Astyanax mexicanus: one gene and its partner. The protein of the gene in region 1 interacts with the protein of each later gene in a pairwise test. Links are inferred from orthologs where the notes say so. Each region holds a gene or a part of one and is shown in the gene's direction. Other genes may lie near its edges.

The links. The genes of interacting proteins can lie anywhere in the genome.
Region 2: the proteins of c19h1orf109 (region 1) and rnf41 interact in binary tests that used the Homo sapiens proteins (3 or more experiments, as listed by UniProt). The two-hybrid records come from large-scale screens. The link is inferred for Astyanax mexicanus from reciprocal best matches to the Homo sapiens genes AIRIM and RNF41.

The regions. Positions count from the first base shown.
Region 1 is NC_064410.1:53,551,076-53,559,278, reverse strand, and holds the start of c19h1orf109 (uncharacterized protein C1orf109 homolog), read left to right. Parts: upstream 1-5,072; 5' UTR 5,073-5,351; coding exon 5,352-5,620; intron 5,621-6,439; coding exon 6,440-6,619; intron 6,620-7,491; coding exon 7,492-7,610; intron 7,611-7,717; coding exon 7,718-7,758; 3' UTR 7,759-8,203. Other genes in the region: cdca8 (borealin), read right to left, coding at 972-1,007, 1,093-1,179, 1,281-1,410, 1,599-1,694, 1,793-1,872, 2,143-2,207, 2,302-2,377, 2,481-2,518 and 2 more. UniProt on the Homo sapiens protein: Part of the 55LCC heterohexameric ATPase complex which is chromatin-associated and promotes replisome proteostasis to maintain replication fork progression and genome stability.
Region 2 is NC_064420.1:45,036,698-45,044,664, reverse strand, and holds the start of rnf41 (E3 ubiquitin-protein ligase NRDP1), read left to right. Parts: upstream 1-4,730; 5' UTR 4,731-4,882; intron 4,883-7,967. UniProt on the Homo sapiens protein: Acts as E3 ubiquitin-protein ligase and regulates the degradation of target proteins. Polyubiquitinates MYD88. Negatively regulates MYD88-dependent production of pro-inflammatory cytokines.

The DNA.
Region 1 (8,203 bases):
TTTTAATGATTGTCTTCTGGTCAATTAATAATTAGCTGAAACATTCTGTTGTATATACTGTTAATGTACTCATAATGGTACATTTGTGTGACTAGTTTGCTATTTTAATGGAGCATTGCGAGACCTATGGTAATTAGAATCATTTTGTCAAGGACTGTAGAAACCATGGGTGCATAATAATGTAGAAAAAAAATGTTATTAAAAACTTTCTGGGGGTAAAAAAAAAAGAATATTAGCACAGGAAAAAATGTTAAAATTAGACACTGGATATGGAAAGACAATTCAAAGGAGAAAAATAAGATGGAGCGTTTCATTACTGAAACCTATGAGGGATGGGTGGAGCACTGACTTATGGTTTCGCTAGAGATGTTGCCCGTCTGTGTGTTTCTACAGTTTTTGGATTTGACTGATTGATGACTGCAGCTGCAGCACGCCTGCCCTCTACAGGACTTAAATACACAGGATACTAAAAGCACAGTCACTCTTTTTCACTAAAACTTAAACCCAGGCTAGAAAGGGAAAAGCACACAATACACAAATTGAAAACAGCTTTTTTTATATACACATTTCTATATGGTGAAAAGTTGCACTTCACTTACAAACAAAAAAGGTCCATTGTTGAGTATAATTTCCTAATATACATATCCAGTATTAATTCACCTCATGAGTAATAGTATAAAATGAATACAATTAAGAAGAAAAAAAATCTGAAATCTGTTGCAAATGAATTGTATTTACAAACATATTACAAGACACCACATGTGAAAACACTACATGCAAACGGAAATATGTACAAATGTAAAATGCCCATGAAAATTCCTGACAGAAAAAGGAGACAGTATTTAAAAGAAATGCAAAGATAAAAGGATAAAACTAGACAAAGCTACTTTATAAACAGGAATAAAAGTGTGACGATTTAGGGTGGTGTCTGATTTTTTAAAAGAAAGGAAATGAGAGCAGAAGCAGTCAGGTCACTTGGATCCTCCACAGAGGGTTGTGAGTCGGCTCTGTGCAAAAGAAAACAGAACAGTAAATCATGTGTTTTACAGTATTTAAGGAATAACAGGCTTCCACTTCACAACAAATAAATACCTGCAGCTGTCTGATACTGCGCACCGCCTTCTCATCCAACTGGCTCAGATCAATACAGTCCATCTCACTGGCCAGCAGCTGAATACACTGAGAAAAGAGGAAACAAAGAGAAGCTGCTGTTATTTTCTGACTAAAAAATAAAAAAGGACACTTGAATTTTTTAGCTTGAGACAGAAGAAGCAACAAACCTCTCCACTTCCCAGAGGGACATTAATGACAATGTCCTCACTGCTTCCAGCAATAGGAGATCCGTTAACAGAGATGCTGTACACCTTCTCTCTGTGACGGGGAACTCGCACTGCAGGAGTCTTGGGCAACCTAAAAGATAAGAGTACATCATACTTAAATTCACATAATTTACCCCCAGGAAACAAACACTGACATTCCATTAAAGAGTCAACCAGGCAACCATGTTTAACAGTAGCCAGTAGCTGATTAAACCTGGCTGCTCTATTAACAGTTTCTTTTAGTCTGAAATTTGGCCAAATTAAAAATTATGGAGTCACCTGGAATCAAAGCGAGGCGTGATGAGTGGTGTCGGACCGATTATGGAGGAATCCAGGAAACTTCTTGCTGGGGTGACCAAAGGCTTTCTACTAGATCTGCAATCAAATAATAATTTACCGGTAAATGAACATTTATATACAATAGTTAATGGTCACCTAAAATGAGCAAAATGTAGATAAGAAATAAAACTTACTTTCTAATAGTGTTGTTCTGTTTGCTGACTGAAAGAGCTTTGGCTTTCTTTGAAGTTGAAGGTGCCTTCTTTTGCCTTCCCTGTGATAAACATGACAAAATTAGGGCAATTGTAAGCCATAGAATAAGGATGGATAAAACTTAAAAAAAACAAACATTTAGCTCTTTAATCTTAATTAAAAAAATGCAAATAATGACAATGATAAAACGAAGAGGGGGGGGGGGGGGGGACCAAACATATCTGAATATGGCAAAACAGAATATTCGCACCTTCAAAATACAGGACCACAAAATTGTTGCAGACCTGATTTCTTTGTTTAGCTACATAATATCTTAACAGTTTAGACTGACCTTTTTTGTCGTAGACTTGGGTACTAAGTTCTCTTCATTTTCTGAGCCTGAGCTGATCTTAGCAGCTATCAATAAACACAGAAGACATGATTAACATCACCATCACAGAAATAACTAAGAATAATATCAAAAACAAGATCAAAAGAAAGCAGTAGTTACCTTTTTTGGCAGACTTTGGAGGAACAGCATGATCATGAGCTATGGTCATCTCTACTTGTGCAGCCACCTCCTTTTGCTGCAAGCAGAAACAACAGATGAAAAATAGAACATGTACATCTCACACATAAAACCTTAAAACAGTCATTCCGAGATGATCAACAGTGGAAATGAGGACTTGCCTTGGACTCATCGACAGGTGCTTCTGGCTTTTCAGAATCTATGTAAAAGAATAAAACATAAGATTCAGAATGTCCTATAACAGTATCCCTTGCCTGTTAAAACACAAACTCTTAACACCTGGTAGATAAACAAAGAACACAATGTGATAAAACATGAATGGAATTATGTAGCTAAAATGGACGGAAGTGTGTATGTACATACCACAGTACTGAATCCAGTTCATCCGTCGCACTGACATAGGCAGCTTGATCAGAGCCATGTTGTACAGGTTGTCTGCATCCTTTAACAGATTGTTGGTCTTGTCCTTCATCCTCTCCACTATGGTGCGCACTGTGTACAAAAATCAATAACATTTGATGTTAAAATGTTACTGAAGCTGAACAGTCCCCTACTAAAACCCGAGATGAGAAACTACGACGAAATCTAACTACTTCCTGACACAAACAAGAGACTAATCTGGTGAAAGGTGAGCTTAGTTTTTGGGGCTAAACTGGATGTAGTAAAAAACATGAAGAGGCAGATACTGGCAAAAATGTCTGTCTGTGTAATGTTTTATAAAGTTGGTGGAAGGGCTTCTCTATGATCAGAGTCATACATTCAGCAACAGACTCCTCCTGTCCTGCTGTAGGTAATTTCTTCTTGCAGCCATGAGATTATACAGCACTGTAAATCTGTTTTTACCAATGATATTGCATTATCTGCACTGGACACTTTCCTTTTAATTATTTTGCCCAGAATTTTTAAATTCACAGCTACCATGCATGCATCATAGTAAGTACTCCAACTATATACTAACTACTCTGTGAAATATCAATACTTTAACACTACTACTTATTAATTATCTTCCAATGTATCCATCCAATCGTCCGTCCGTATCATTAAGGTCACACTGCCATTTGTTTGTCTAGCCAAAAAAACCCTGATCCTTTTCGTTTATAAATAATTGGTTATTCAGTTAAACATATCATACAGCAGACAAAAAAGTGAAATTAGGTTTAGAGGATTTACAGAAAGTGTGCAATAATTATTTAAACAAAATTAGGCATGTGCATAAAAAACATTTAACCAATAAATCTACATTGTATTTTGCACGAGTGTATGTAACTACTACTTATTTGTCAATCTATTCAATTTGTCGGTCCTGCTACAAATATACATACAGCTATACACACAAAAAAACACATTCTGCACTATATACATAAAAATATATATAAAATAAATTTATAGAAAAACATAAAACATGTCTGTGTGAATTGAGTAAAGGACCCAAAATAAAAATTACTTAATAGCTGTGATAAAAGCTGTGGAGCTGTGGTCTCCATCAAAATTAAATTTCCATTATTGTCATTTTCCTGTTAAAGGCAGTTCATTATACCAAAACACTAGCTAGAATTATAATACAGTATAGGTTTAACATTGGAATAATACAAAAATAATAAACAAAAGCTTAAAGCTCACATTTTAACCATATTTTAAACATTTTACCTGTTGGGATCCTCCCAGCTGGCATTTTAACTGTAGTTAGTCTTTTTTAATGCAAGCTAACTGCGTAAGCAGCCTTAAAGTTAACAATAGTCAATGGTTTTAGTGTAAACAATCTTACCTTCATCATCGAAGTCCAGAAGAAACGCTTCTAATTTCGGCATTTTTATATTCTTCTTGGTTTTAGCGTTGGTTGTTCGTTTTCTCGGAGCCATTGTGTTTCTGTAAGAAAGAAAGACGCAATGCTGAGGCTGACTAGCTAACTACTGTAGACCTGTAACATAACACTAGGCCAGATAATTACACGCTAAATGTTTAATTTTATGCACACTTAAACGTGTAAACATTGTGTTAACAACACTTCTAAGACAATATTCTTTACCTACCTGTTCTGAATTCTTTATATTCCTTTATATTTCCTTTTATTTTTGTATATTTTTCTGCTCCTTTCGCTGCTTTTCGACGCTCCCTAAACTGGTGGCGGTTGGAAGCAACACTTTTCAAATTCATTCGCGGAGCAGCAGCTCAACCAATGACCGGGCAGCTTCTGTATGCGTCTATTACGCCGGCGTCACGGACCAATCAGCTACTGTTTAAGGAACAATACAAAAAACGACCAATCGCTGAAGAGCTTAGTGGAAAGCATGTGTCATGTGTTTTGTAGCTTAGTCCGAAAAGATTTTCTGTCAAAATAAGAGCCCCCTTAAATGGAATAAAAAAATTGTAAAAGAAATACTATGAACTAGTTTAATAATATATAGAGTATAAAACTAATTAAAAGCTTTTTGAAACATATAAACGCATACATAATGTAGATAATAAAATAAAAAGTAAGAAATTGTACTAAAACAAGTATTATGTTACACAGTTTTGCGGAGATATAACTCTAATAATAAAAAAGAGACATTATAAAGAACAGTATGTTTCTTACTTTTTCTTTGATTATCTACATTATTTTATGCGTTTCTAAGTTTTAAAAAACGTTTAATTAGTTTTAAACGTTATATATTGTCAACCTAGTTCATAGTATTTAATTTACAGACTTAAAACAGAATTTTATTACATTTTGGGGGAACTTTTATTATGACAGAAAATCGTTTTGCACTCTGACTTGCATCAAAATGCTGGTGCTGGGTTTGTTAATAACTAAGCTAGCTAGCACGTGTTGGGTATTAGATGGTAAACATTCTTTAGAAGACTATAGAAAACATATAACTGGGTATGTTTATGTTTGTCAGATATGTGAGCAGGGATTGAGCGTTTAAATATATACATTGAGCATTTATATTTCATACTGAGGGTTGATATGTTGGTCAGATTAGCAGTATTGGAGCTAGCTGCACTCAGACAGGCGGTAATTTAGTAGTCTATAGTTAGTTAGATTAACTATGTCTCAGCCTGCACTGCTGCTCTTACAGCAGGAGCTAAGGAAATGCTTCCAGAGTGTTCAGGTGAACAAGGAGGTTTGGAGATCTGCTCTGGTCGAGTGTTCACCTCTGATCAGCTCTCTGGGGAACCTGGCCGAGCAGCTGAGGGCGCTGAAGAGTGTAGATCTAGCCAGCACTCCGCTCTGTCACTTTCCAGATCTACAACCACGTCTCCAGCACAAGCTGGCACAGGCAGTAGACACTGTCTTAGGGAAATTAAGTGAAAAAATGTAAGTTCATGCATATATACACTTTAACTTGTTGCTGTACATACAGTAACAGTCACACCTCTTTTCATTCAATGTGTTTTCTTTCTTTTTATGATTTTTTTACATTGTACATTTAATATTAAAGACTATATTAAAGCTGTACAGTAGATATGGCCCTAAAATAATATCACAATATTTCATGGTATTTCCATGATAACGGTACTCTTAAAGATATTACAAAATACTGCAACAAAATGAAAATTAAACTTTATCATTGCATTATTGCACAATATGATATTGACTTATTTTTACCTGCATTTCTAAAGCAGGGTAATGAAAAGGAACAGTCCTTTTCATTTGGCATAAGGAAAACAAACAAATATAAAACAAGTTAAATAAAAATTAACACACAAGATAAAAGGTAATGCAGACAAATATGTGTTCAAAAACAGTTTTTTCAGTTTTTTTCTGTAAAATAAACCTTTAGCTGTTATTTAACAAACCAATCACATTTGGAAGGCCAGAACTACATTTAAAAGTTCAACTTTGAATGTATGTCTGAAACCTACACCGATTTCTTGCACTGCAGGTTCTTGGTGAATTAAGTCTTCTGATTCTACAGATACATGCTATCAAGTATTTTATTCATAATTTCAAAATGTTATGTATGCTTTATACCTCTCTAGCTCATGTCTAGCAATTGGCGAATGCAGTGTATGTATATGAAATCCTGTACTTAAAGGAAGTGAGGAAAGTTTTTCCTGTTTTGGGTTATTAAGATTTAAACAGCGATGTTATGAATTTTCTCATCCATGAGTGTTTTGTTTTATTGCTCTGCAGAGAAACACTTCAAGGAGTTCGGGATTCCACAAGTAAGCAGGTGTTTGCAGTTTTCCAGCTGTATGAGCAGAATGCAGACTCCCTGGATCTGCACACTTGTGTTGCCAGATCTGCCACTTCTCCATCTATTGCTGATATGTTGGAATGGCTCCAGGATGCAGAGTGCTACTACCGTGTTCAGTATCCTAGACGTGCTAAGATTCATCAGTGGCATTTAGAAATTAACCTGACATTTTTCTTTTTATTTTATTGCTATCACCGGTCATGTTGATATCATAACATTTAAAACATTGAATTTTAGTTTTGTTTTACTATAATTGTTAATAGAAATGTAATAGCTTTCCCCTTGCCTTATCACATTTCAGATTATGATTTTATGTTAACCAGTTTGAAACAGCTAATTTGGTCTTTTCTCTGGTGCCAAATGTTACACGATAGTTCAGTCATCACAATAAAAATGGCTTTTTTAGTTGCCAAAACAACAATGCTGGGCTGTAACATACAGCTGTTTTATTAGCAAATAAATTATACTTGTTTAGACTTTGTATTAATTCTTGATAAGAGTCAGCATCGGGTGTTTGATTCTAGTCACAAACCTCACAACTCTGCAACAAAAAATGTAAGTAAACATGTGAATATTCTGACAAATCATGCCTTTTAATGCAACCGAAATTGTAGAAATGTATTAGGATGAGCAGCATCTGAGTCTCAAAGTCATTATAATTGTTAATGATATGGCGCTCTTGAACAATAGGGCTGGTCGGATTCTTTAGATTAGTCTAGTATTTCAAAATGATTTTACATTTTCCCTTGATTTTAGTTGTTTTTGTGAGCCCTTCAAACGAAAAACCATATGTCAATCAGTTATTTTTTTCTTTTTCATTTGGAACTGTTTTTACAATAAAAATACTTAATATTCAGATGTAAGTCACAAAGGCAGTTAAAATAAAATAACTTAGTATAGTAAAGAAAATAAATGATTTATTTTAACTTAATAGATTAGTGTGAAAAGTAGAAGTATGTTATATTATTCTCCTCAGTTACATCCTCAGATACATACAGAGGAAGAACCTGTTGTGGACCTTAAAGCCTGATGACCTCACACTGATGGAAGCAGCACCAAAGAGATGGGCATCTTTAGATTCTCCTGATAAAGAAGAAAGAATATCAGGTAAAATAGTTCTGCCACCAACAGATACTGAAGCATTCTGCTGTTTTCCCATTCTGCTCTTCATTATATAAGTTATGTAATGTATTTATTCTGTGTTCTTGTTTTAGATGCACTTTTTCAAGTGTCCTTCTTCATGGAGTCGGAGTGAACAGTGTTACTGAGCCGTGTGCTGGCTAACCACTTTCTGCCCAGCTTACGTCACTCAGTTACGAGCACCTGGCTGGAAAAGAAGTGTCACACTTTGCTGTAATTACCAGACAGAGCCTTAGTAACATGAGTTTCAGAGATGTGTCTGGTAATGTCTGACTCTCATCTTTGTGTGCTACAAACTTGTGAGCTTGTGATTTGAGTTTTCAAGAACTTTAGTGCTAATACTTCATTCCATTTAAACTCAGATCTCGGGATTTCCGAGTAGGAAATTTCAACTGGAATGCCTCAACAAGACTGATATCCCTCTTAAAAAGTCAGGAGAGTCGTACAAACTGCAAGTTCAGAATTCAAGATGGCTGCAGTGCACATCAACAACAGGAGAAGCAGCAGTTTTATACAGTTTTTTTAATCACTTATTTATTTGTGCCTTATTTAAGTCAGTT
Region 2 (7,967 bases), on another chromosome or scaffold:
AAGCCTCTTGACTTTATATTTGACTTGATGTTTCTGTACAACCTTCTAATGAATTAATTTATCTAAGTCTATGTCATTATCAGTACAGTAATGGCGGCGCTCAGAGCAGAAGCTAGCATTATAGGATGTAAACAGAGGTTTTTAATAAGCTTCTTGTGCCCTTTTTAAGTTATTAATGCCTCGTTTTAAATGTCTCTCTGGATTCTAGCAAGGAGGTGTGGCACTACTTTGAGCTGAATAACGGTGGAAAAAGCAATTTATTGGGGCATTTATGCCCCGTTTCACCCAGTCTGCAGGGTGTTTGGACAAACTGTTAAAATATCTGGATCTCAGAACGCTGTGGGAGAACGGAGGTGTGCTCTTCATCAAAAGTAAGTACTTTTTATCATGTTGTACTACACCAAAACTCCATTTTACACCAGAGTTCTCCTTTAATGCCTGGCAGGTGTTGGGTATGGGGGGCATAAAGCCCCCCAGCACTGACATGTGGAGCAGTGGAACTGTGTTCCCCATCCAATACTTTTGGATTAAGATCTTTTGATCTTAATTAAGATCAATTTAGTAGAAAATGTTCTATTTCATGTTTATAGCTCAAAGAAACAATATATTATGGGAACTGTTCATATAAAAAAAAGCTTTAATGTAAAAACAGTTTAGACAAAAGTATCAAGAGTCTGGTCGCACCAGCAAATTTGAAGAAAATACCTCATTAAACCCATGCATTGGATAACAATGCAACAGAACTGAACATGCTTGCATACATACACTCACTCACACACACACACACAGGCTTATACAACTTGACAAACATTTTAAAGTTTAGGGGAGCCAATAAAGGTTGTTTTGTGCAAAGTGCACAAAACAACTTTTATTGGCTCCCCTAAACTTTAAAATATACTAAGTAATAACTAAAAAAAATCCAGCCTTTCCCATTTTGGAGATGTGCAGACATTAAATAGCAAATTAGCACATATACATAATTTTAAAAAGAATTTAATAAAAATAAAAAAAAAACATCTCATTGCTCAGGCAAGCAGTTGGAGAATTTTAATTATGATGTTTATTATATAAATGTTACCCTTATTTTACCCTATTCTTACCAGTAGTTTACTATTGTTATATTGTTATGATGGAATATATCATAAAAAATATAAATTACAATTACAATTAACAAATGAGTTTATAATAATATTTCCATAATAATACATATAATAATATATAATACTAATACATATATACATATAATATGTATAATAACACTACAATAATATAATATTGTAAAAATAATATATCTATATTAGTATTATAATATTATTATAAAATTAATAATATATCAAAATAACAATAATTAGAGCTAATTTAGCTAATTCACTCATTGTCCTTATAATCTAAATGTTACCATTGGTGCATGACGTCCACTATAGTGGACAGTTACATTTGGACACAGAACCAAAAAAACTGTATTACCAATTTTGATGAAACTTTCATAAAAGTGTTCCTTACTACATTCTTAATTAGAAAAAAAAGTGTATACCTGCATGTTTCTTGCAGAATAAAAAGATTTGACTGATATTCCAGAGGTCAAAATGTCATTTTCACTGTTGGTCGCCATCTTGGATTTCTGATGCAATATCTCAGTTTTGAGAATATTGATTAAGACATTTATTTGTACACAATAAAGAGTTGGTTTAGAAGACAGCCCCTGGTGGTTTGGAGTATATATTGCAAATCTTTTGTTTTTTTAATATGTTTAAATATGCGCCCACTGTAGTGTACACCATGCATGAAAGGGTTAAAAACTGACATAAGTGACTGCATGGGCCTAGGAACACTTGCAGAAAACAAAATAAATTAAGAAATATAGAAAAACTTAGTATGAAAAGGGGTGTCCAAACTGTTGGCTGATGCTGTACAGTGCCATTCAAAAGTTTGGACACAACTTCTCATTCAATGTTTTTATTTTTTATTTTTTTTTTCTACATTGTAAATGAATACTGAAGTGATCCAGTCTATGAAGGAACAAATAAGGAATCGTGTAGTAACTTAAAACTGTTAAACAAGCCAAAATACTTATTTAGGTGCTCTTATCTGGGGAGCTGTTAACTCTGAGGCTGGTAACTTTGATTAAATTATCCTGTGCAACAGAAGGAACTTTTAAGTGTGTTTCGAATGGTTCACTCAGGGGCGTAGCAGCAAATTCTGGGCCCTGTACACCCTCATTGTTAATGGGCCCCTATCCATGCCAGTAAACAAAGGAAAGTGAGCAAAAAAAAAATCAGGATTTTCATGGGCCCCTCTCCCTACTAGGGCCCTGGGTAGTCAGGTCCACTTTTCCCCCCACTACCACGCCCATGGGTTCACTCATTAACTTATTCACTATATAGCATTTATAACACCAAGCTTCAGAGAGATGGCCTGACAAGAATGAGAGGGACAAGAGAAAGTTTTCATGTGATACCAAAAAAAACGTCCTGAACTGCGAAAAAAGTTGTTAGTTTATTTCAGTACACATCCGTATATTTATTTATATTTTCATATTATACATTTGTACAGGAAGACGTCCTATATACCCCCTCAAGTCCTACTTACGAGGTTGGAGGTCGTACATAAGACTTGACATGCGTTCGAGTGTTTTTTGGTTGGGTGAAAATGGACGCCCTTAGGATTTTTTTTTTTTATTATATTATATATACAAATTATATATGCTTATATAACATATTATATGTAAAGCAGATTGTTTAAAAAAACTGTTAAATAATATTCACGCATAAAATCAATATATGTGCACGAGGCAACACTTTTTTCACTGATTGTGGAAACTTCACACTAGACCTCAAGCAGTTTGGACTGTGTGTCTCTCCACTCTTCCTCCAGACTCTGCTCCCTTAATCTACAAATGAAATGTAAAATTTACTGATGATCAGTGATCCCAGATAGCCACCGAGTGCTGGCCCAGAATTGGGCCTTAGCTGGATTCTGACTGTCCTCAAAGGTGGCCCAGTACTGGCCACCGGACTAGGCCCAGTGTCTTTTTGAACAACTGGTTTCTGACTGTTCTTGAAGCTGGCTGAGATCTGTTCTGGCCTTGTACGCTAGATAGTTAACAATTTTAATTTCAAGTAAAAACATATTTTTTGGTTGTCTGTTAGTAACTGTTACATTAACATTTACATTAACATGGCATGTGTTTAATGCTACATTCTGAGATAATTTAGCCTCAGATAATATCACCTTGATATGCTGCTAAATTAGCTAGCTTAGCTAACTGAAGAGACAACACACAGATAGGGTTATAACTCATATTTGACGGTCAAAATATTTATTAAATACATGGAATCAAAATAAAGGATATTTCAAAAAAGGTACTTAACACTTAGTTAGTTTTGCTACCTACCTACAAACTTTAAAGGTTTCAGGATAGCTGACATTTGAGGAAAGTTTTAATGTTTGAGGAATCCGCGCGCCAAGTGCGACGAGAAACCGCACGGGTTGAACTGGGTTGATGCACAGGGGCACCAAGGTAAATATCACCTAGATTCATTTACACTCTAAACGCGATCACACACACACACACACACACACACACACACACAGCTTATATAGTCCATGTAGAAAAAAATTGCCAATAGAATAAGACTCTCTGGATGTGTGTGTGTGTGAGAAGCAGTACTATAACAGGCTGTGTGTGTGTGTACTATAACAGGCTGTGTGTGTGTGTGTGTGTGTGTGTGTGTGTACTATAACAGGCTGTGTGTCGTCTGCCGTATTTGAGTCATTTCACAACTGTGTTCAGAGAATCAACAGGTCAGGTGCGACAGTCGTTCACCAGCACCAAAACGACTGCTCAGTGACACGGATTTAGAACAGTCAGAAAGTGACACTGGGCCAGCTGTGGGCCAGAAGTATTTTTCTGCTTGCGACTCTAAACCAGCAGTGCCGACTTAGAAACGAGTCCGGGCCAAAGTCGCTGGCTATCTGGGATGGTTTGGAGAGACATGTCATCTGTTGGTGTTGATCCACTGTGTTTTATTATCAAGTCCAAAGTCAGTGCAGTTTTGTTTTCCTGCTAAAGCACTTCATGCTTCCCTCTGCTACTGACAACTTTTATGGAGATTTCATTTTCCAGTAGGACTTGGCACACTGCCCAATGCCCACACTGCCAAAAGTACCATTTGGTCTTCTTTTTTTGTTGTTGTTAACAAGCTGTTACCCGCTCCAAAATAAGAATGTCCAAAAAATATCCACACCACAGGTGTAACCAAGATTGATTTCTTGGCTGCTGTTGATGCTGCCATCAAAACTTTAGCACTCCTTTGTTGTACAGTCAGCATTACAATAGAATCATCAAGTAACAATATTAACCCATAAAAAGAAAAAACAGATAGAATTTGTGTGAACATGTCCAGAACATAAGCATATAGTTTTCAACTAGGCTCAGTTCACATCTGCAACAGTTTTTTTGTCCCTGAAAAGTTTCATGAGGAAGGCTGACATACCAATTGGTGTTATGTATATAATATTCCGATTTTCTAAAACACTGATTTTTTTTTTATGGCTGTAAGCCATAATCAATCAACAACAATAAAAGAAATAAAGATTTAAAATAGATCGCTCTGTGTGTAATACATCGATAAAATATATGAGTTTCACATTTTTTGACTGAATTACTGAAATAAGGTTACTTTTTAATGATATTGTATTTTTTTAGATGCACTAGTGCTTGAGACTGACCCACAGAGCTCTATGGGATGCACTTATAATATAAGTGACACACATCCGTTCAGCTAAGGAAGAGAGAGGCAGCGTCTCACAGACTGGTCCCATAAAACTGTAAATATCGACGTAATCTCGACAAATTCTGGATTGTTATATACCTGAACAGGTAATGCACATTCTGACAGTGTTCTTATGGTGGGTGAGATTATTTAAAGCCCTTTAAATGTCTGAAAAACGGGGTAAATGGATAGATAGATGACCTAACTAACGCTAGCTAAGCAGGGGCAGCAGTGTGTGTCAGCTGTGCTGGATGAGCTGTTTTTACTGGGCTGAATTGAGGGTAGAAAACAAGCTTGAGCATTTTTTAAATATTTTTTTAACGAGAGCAGAGAGTTATCTACCTAAATGTGCTTTTATTGTCTTTAAACTGTGAGTTTGTCCTTTTCTTTAATACCTTTTTTTTCATTGCCAGACAGCCTACGTTGCTAGCTTGCCAGCTAACGTTAGTTAAATATCTGCCTTAGCAACCGTAGCTAGCTAACGCTAAAGCTAACTACTTAGCTTAGCTTAGCGTAGCTAGCTTGGCTTCAATTGGTGACTAGCGCTAACGCAAACGGCTGGTTTAGAACAGTTTATTCGGCATATTTAAGGATTAATACCTTAATATCTCACTGCTTATACAGATAACATATTTCTTACACATCTCAGGATAAAAATAGAGGAGTATTTCTCCTTTTTTTCACCTTTAAGCTTCACTAGCTTGGCCATGCTGTTCAGTTTTTGCTAGGTAGGTTAGCTAGGAGCAGATGTAACTTACTAGGTTACAGTATTTTTCTTGTTTTAAAGCTGGTTACCTATGTTTAATTCTGATAACTTGTATGTTAGGTAGATATATTGTATATGCTTGTTTTAGCAGGCTAACATTAGCCAGATTGCCCCCTTATAGCTAGCTAGCCTGAAAATAGCCAGCCTAACCCAGGTTAGCTGTAGGCAGCTTTGGTGTCTGAGCTTTGGTAGTTAGATGTTGGGTCACGATCAAGGTTTAATCTGTTTAATCTTTGTATTTTCCTGTTTTTTCCTTTTTCTTTACGTTTGTTGGCTTCATACAGAGATCCTAAAGCACCAGGACAGAGATATAGTACACTGTGAGGGATTTAAAACCTATTCCATTCAGTTTAACAGCCCCTTATCTGAATTTAGTCCTAATCTTTACATCATTTTAAATCTGTTTTATTGTAACTAGTTGAAAATATACATTCGACTTATTGTAAAATTTGATAGTTATGATATGTTATAGATGTTTATTGTTTTTATTTGTATGTTTGTTCACATATGTAATAGTGAACAGTATTTTAGCCGGTCATGCAGTTACCAATCAGTGCTTCAATAACTGTGACTCCTTACACACAGTGTGCACAGACTGCAGTAGGTGAAGAATAATATATATATACATATATTTGCCAAACTATGATTGATTAAAATTTTGTTAATTAATTGCCAATGACAATAATATCTTTGATCGCAATAATTTCTGGGAAGATATATCATCCATAAAAATTTGATATACAGATTTATAACGTAAATACGTTATAACGTAACTTATAAACAGAGTGATTAGACACATACCTATACCGGTATAACTTTAGAAACATATGTAGCATTTATATACCTTACATTATCTTTCAACCAACTGTATGCAAAATCAGCACAGAGCATTACCACTTCCAGGTGCCTTAAGACTTAAGGCTTTGTTCAATTCCTCAATGTGCCACAATGCACTGTGCAGAATTTTGACTTAACTTTAAAAAAAAAAAAACTAAGGGTATCATAACTGTCCTAGCCCTGTACAGCTTGTATATTTCAGCTGAAAAACAGGCAGTGTGTGAAAAGATGATACATTGAGCAAACTGCTATCATGCATGATAAGTGAGGCTGAACAGTATAGTTTGTGTATAATTTAGGTGAGTAGAGAATAAAACATGGTGCGTTTTTAGTCCAATGCTGGCATTTTGTCCTTTTGATGAGAGTGTGGGCCTGCTGCCATCGTCAAAATGAAACTAAATGAAATTTTTGGCTGAATGCCGAATCGCATGTTTTGCAGGTGTTCATTAATTTTGCCACATTCCTCACCATTGCATGAATTTAAATGGCTTAATCATTTTTTTTTTCTGTTCAGATTTAAAGCCATTCGAAAACGACAATAAATATTTTTAAACTGAACACTTAACCTTGTTAACATTTGTGCAAGAATATACCCACAAAGCACTTGGTATACATATGCTGTTTCTTATAAATTATTTCTCTTTTCATTTATTCAACCAAACACCAAAAGTGCCTTTTTTCTGTTTTCGCCAAAATAATTTCAAGTGCTGAAAGATTTTCCCAGTCAGTGAAGGGAAGCAGCAGGAAAATGTGGGGTGCAGCCCGTTATTACTGCATGCAAAATGCTGGGAACACAGTTAGCTAGCTAAATTATCATTGGTAATATTTAATTTTGGTGTCCACAGTCTGATGTGTAAGGTAAATTGTACCAAAAATCTCAATACATCATAAATATTACATGGGTGCGTCATCTTAAGTCGTAAAATGGTTCACCTAACATGTGCTGGAATGCTTTGGGCAGTTTTTGTTTGTGCTGTTGAATCTTTAGGCTTTGAACGAAGGCTATAATGAGGCTATATGTCTTTGGCAGTTAAGCTCATTCTCTTTAAACTGCATAGATTATTGGCTTTTATTTGTGCACCATTCCTTTAAAATGCCTCCCATTCGTGAGGGGTACATTCTGAGCGTTCCTAACTGTCTCCCCCTGTCTGTGTTGCCATGCTGAAATTAGGTCACCAGCATCCAAATGGGACACAATACCCCCCCCTCTTCCAGTCTGTGATATGCTGGATATGCAAAAAAAGGGGGTACTTCAAAAGCAGAGGATTTCCCCCTCCTTCCTTCTTAAAACCAGCCCGAGCAGTTTTATGCCCTGTCAGCTTCTGAATCGATCTACAGTCTGCAGACTGATCAAAGCTCTGGGCTCCTTTGCTCCTGTTTCGGGACGCATTGTTAGGAAAGGAAGCCGATACTGCTGGATTAATATGCTTCCTGTGAGGATACATAAAACGCAGCAAGGCCCCGCCAGACATATCTGCTTTTGTTTTTAATGTCTGAGGATTAGCATTGACTAATCTGTCAAAAGAAGACTACTTGCGAAACAGCTGGGCTGGTATTCCCACAGCTGGAGCTGGAGCTGTGAATCAGAC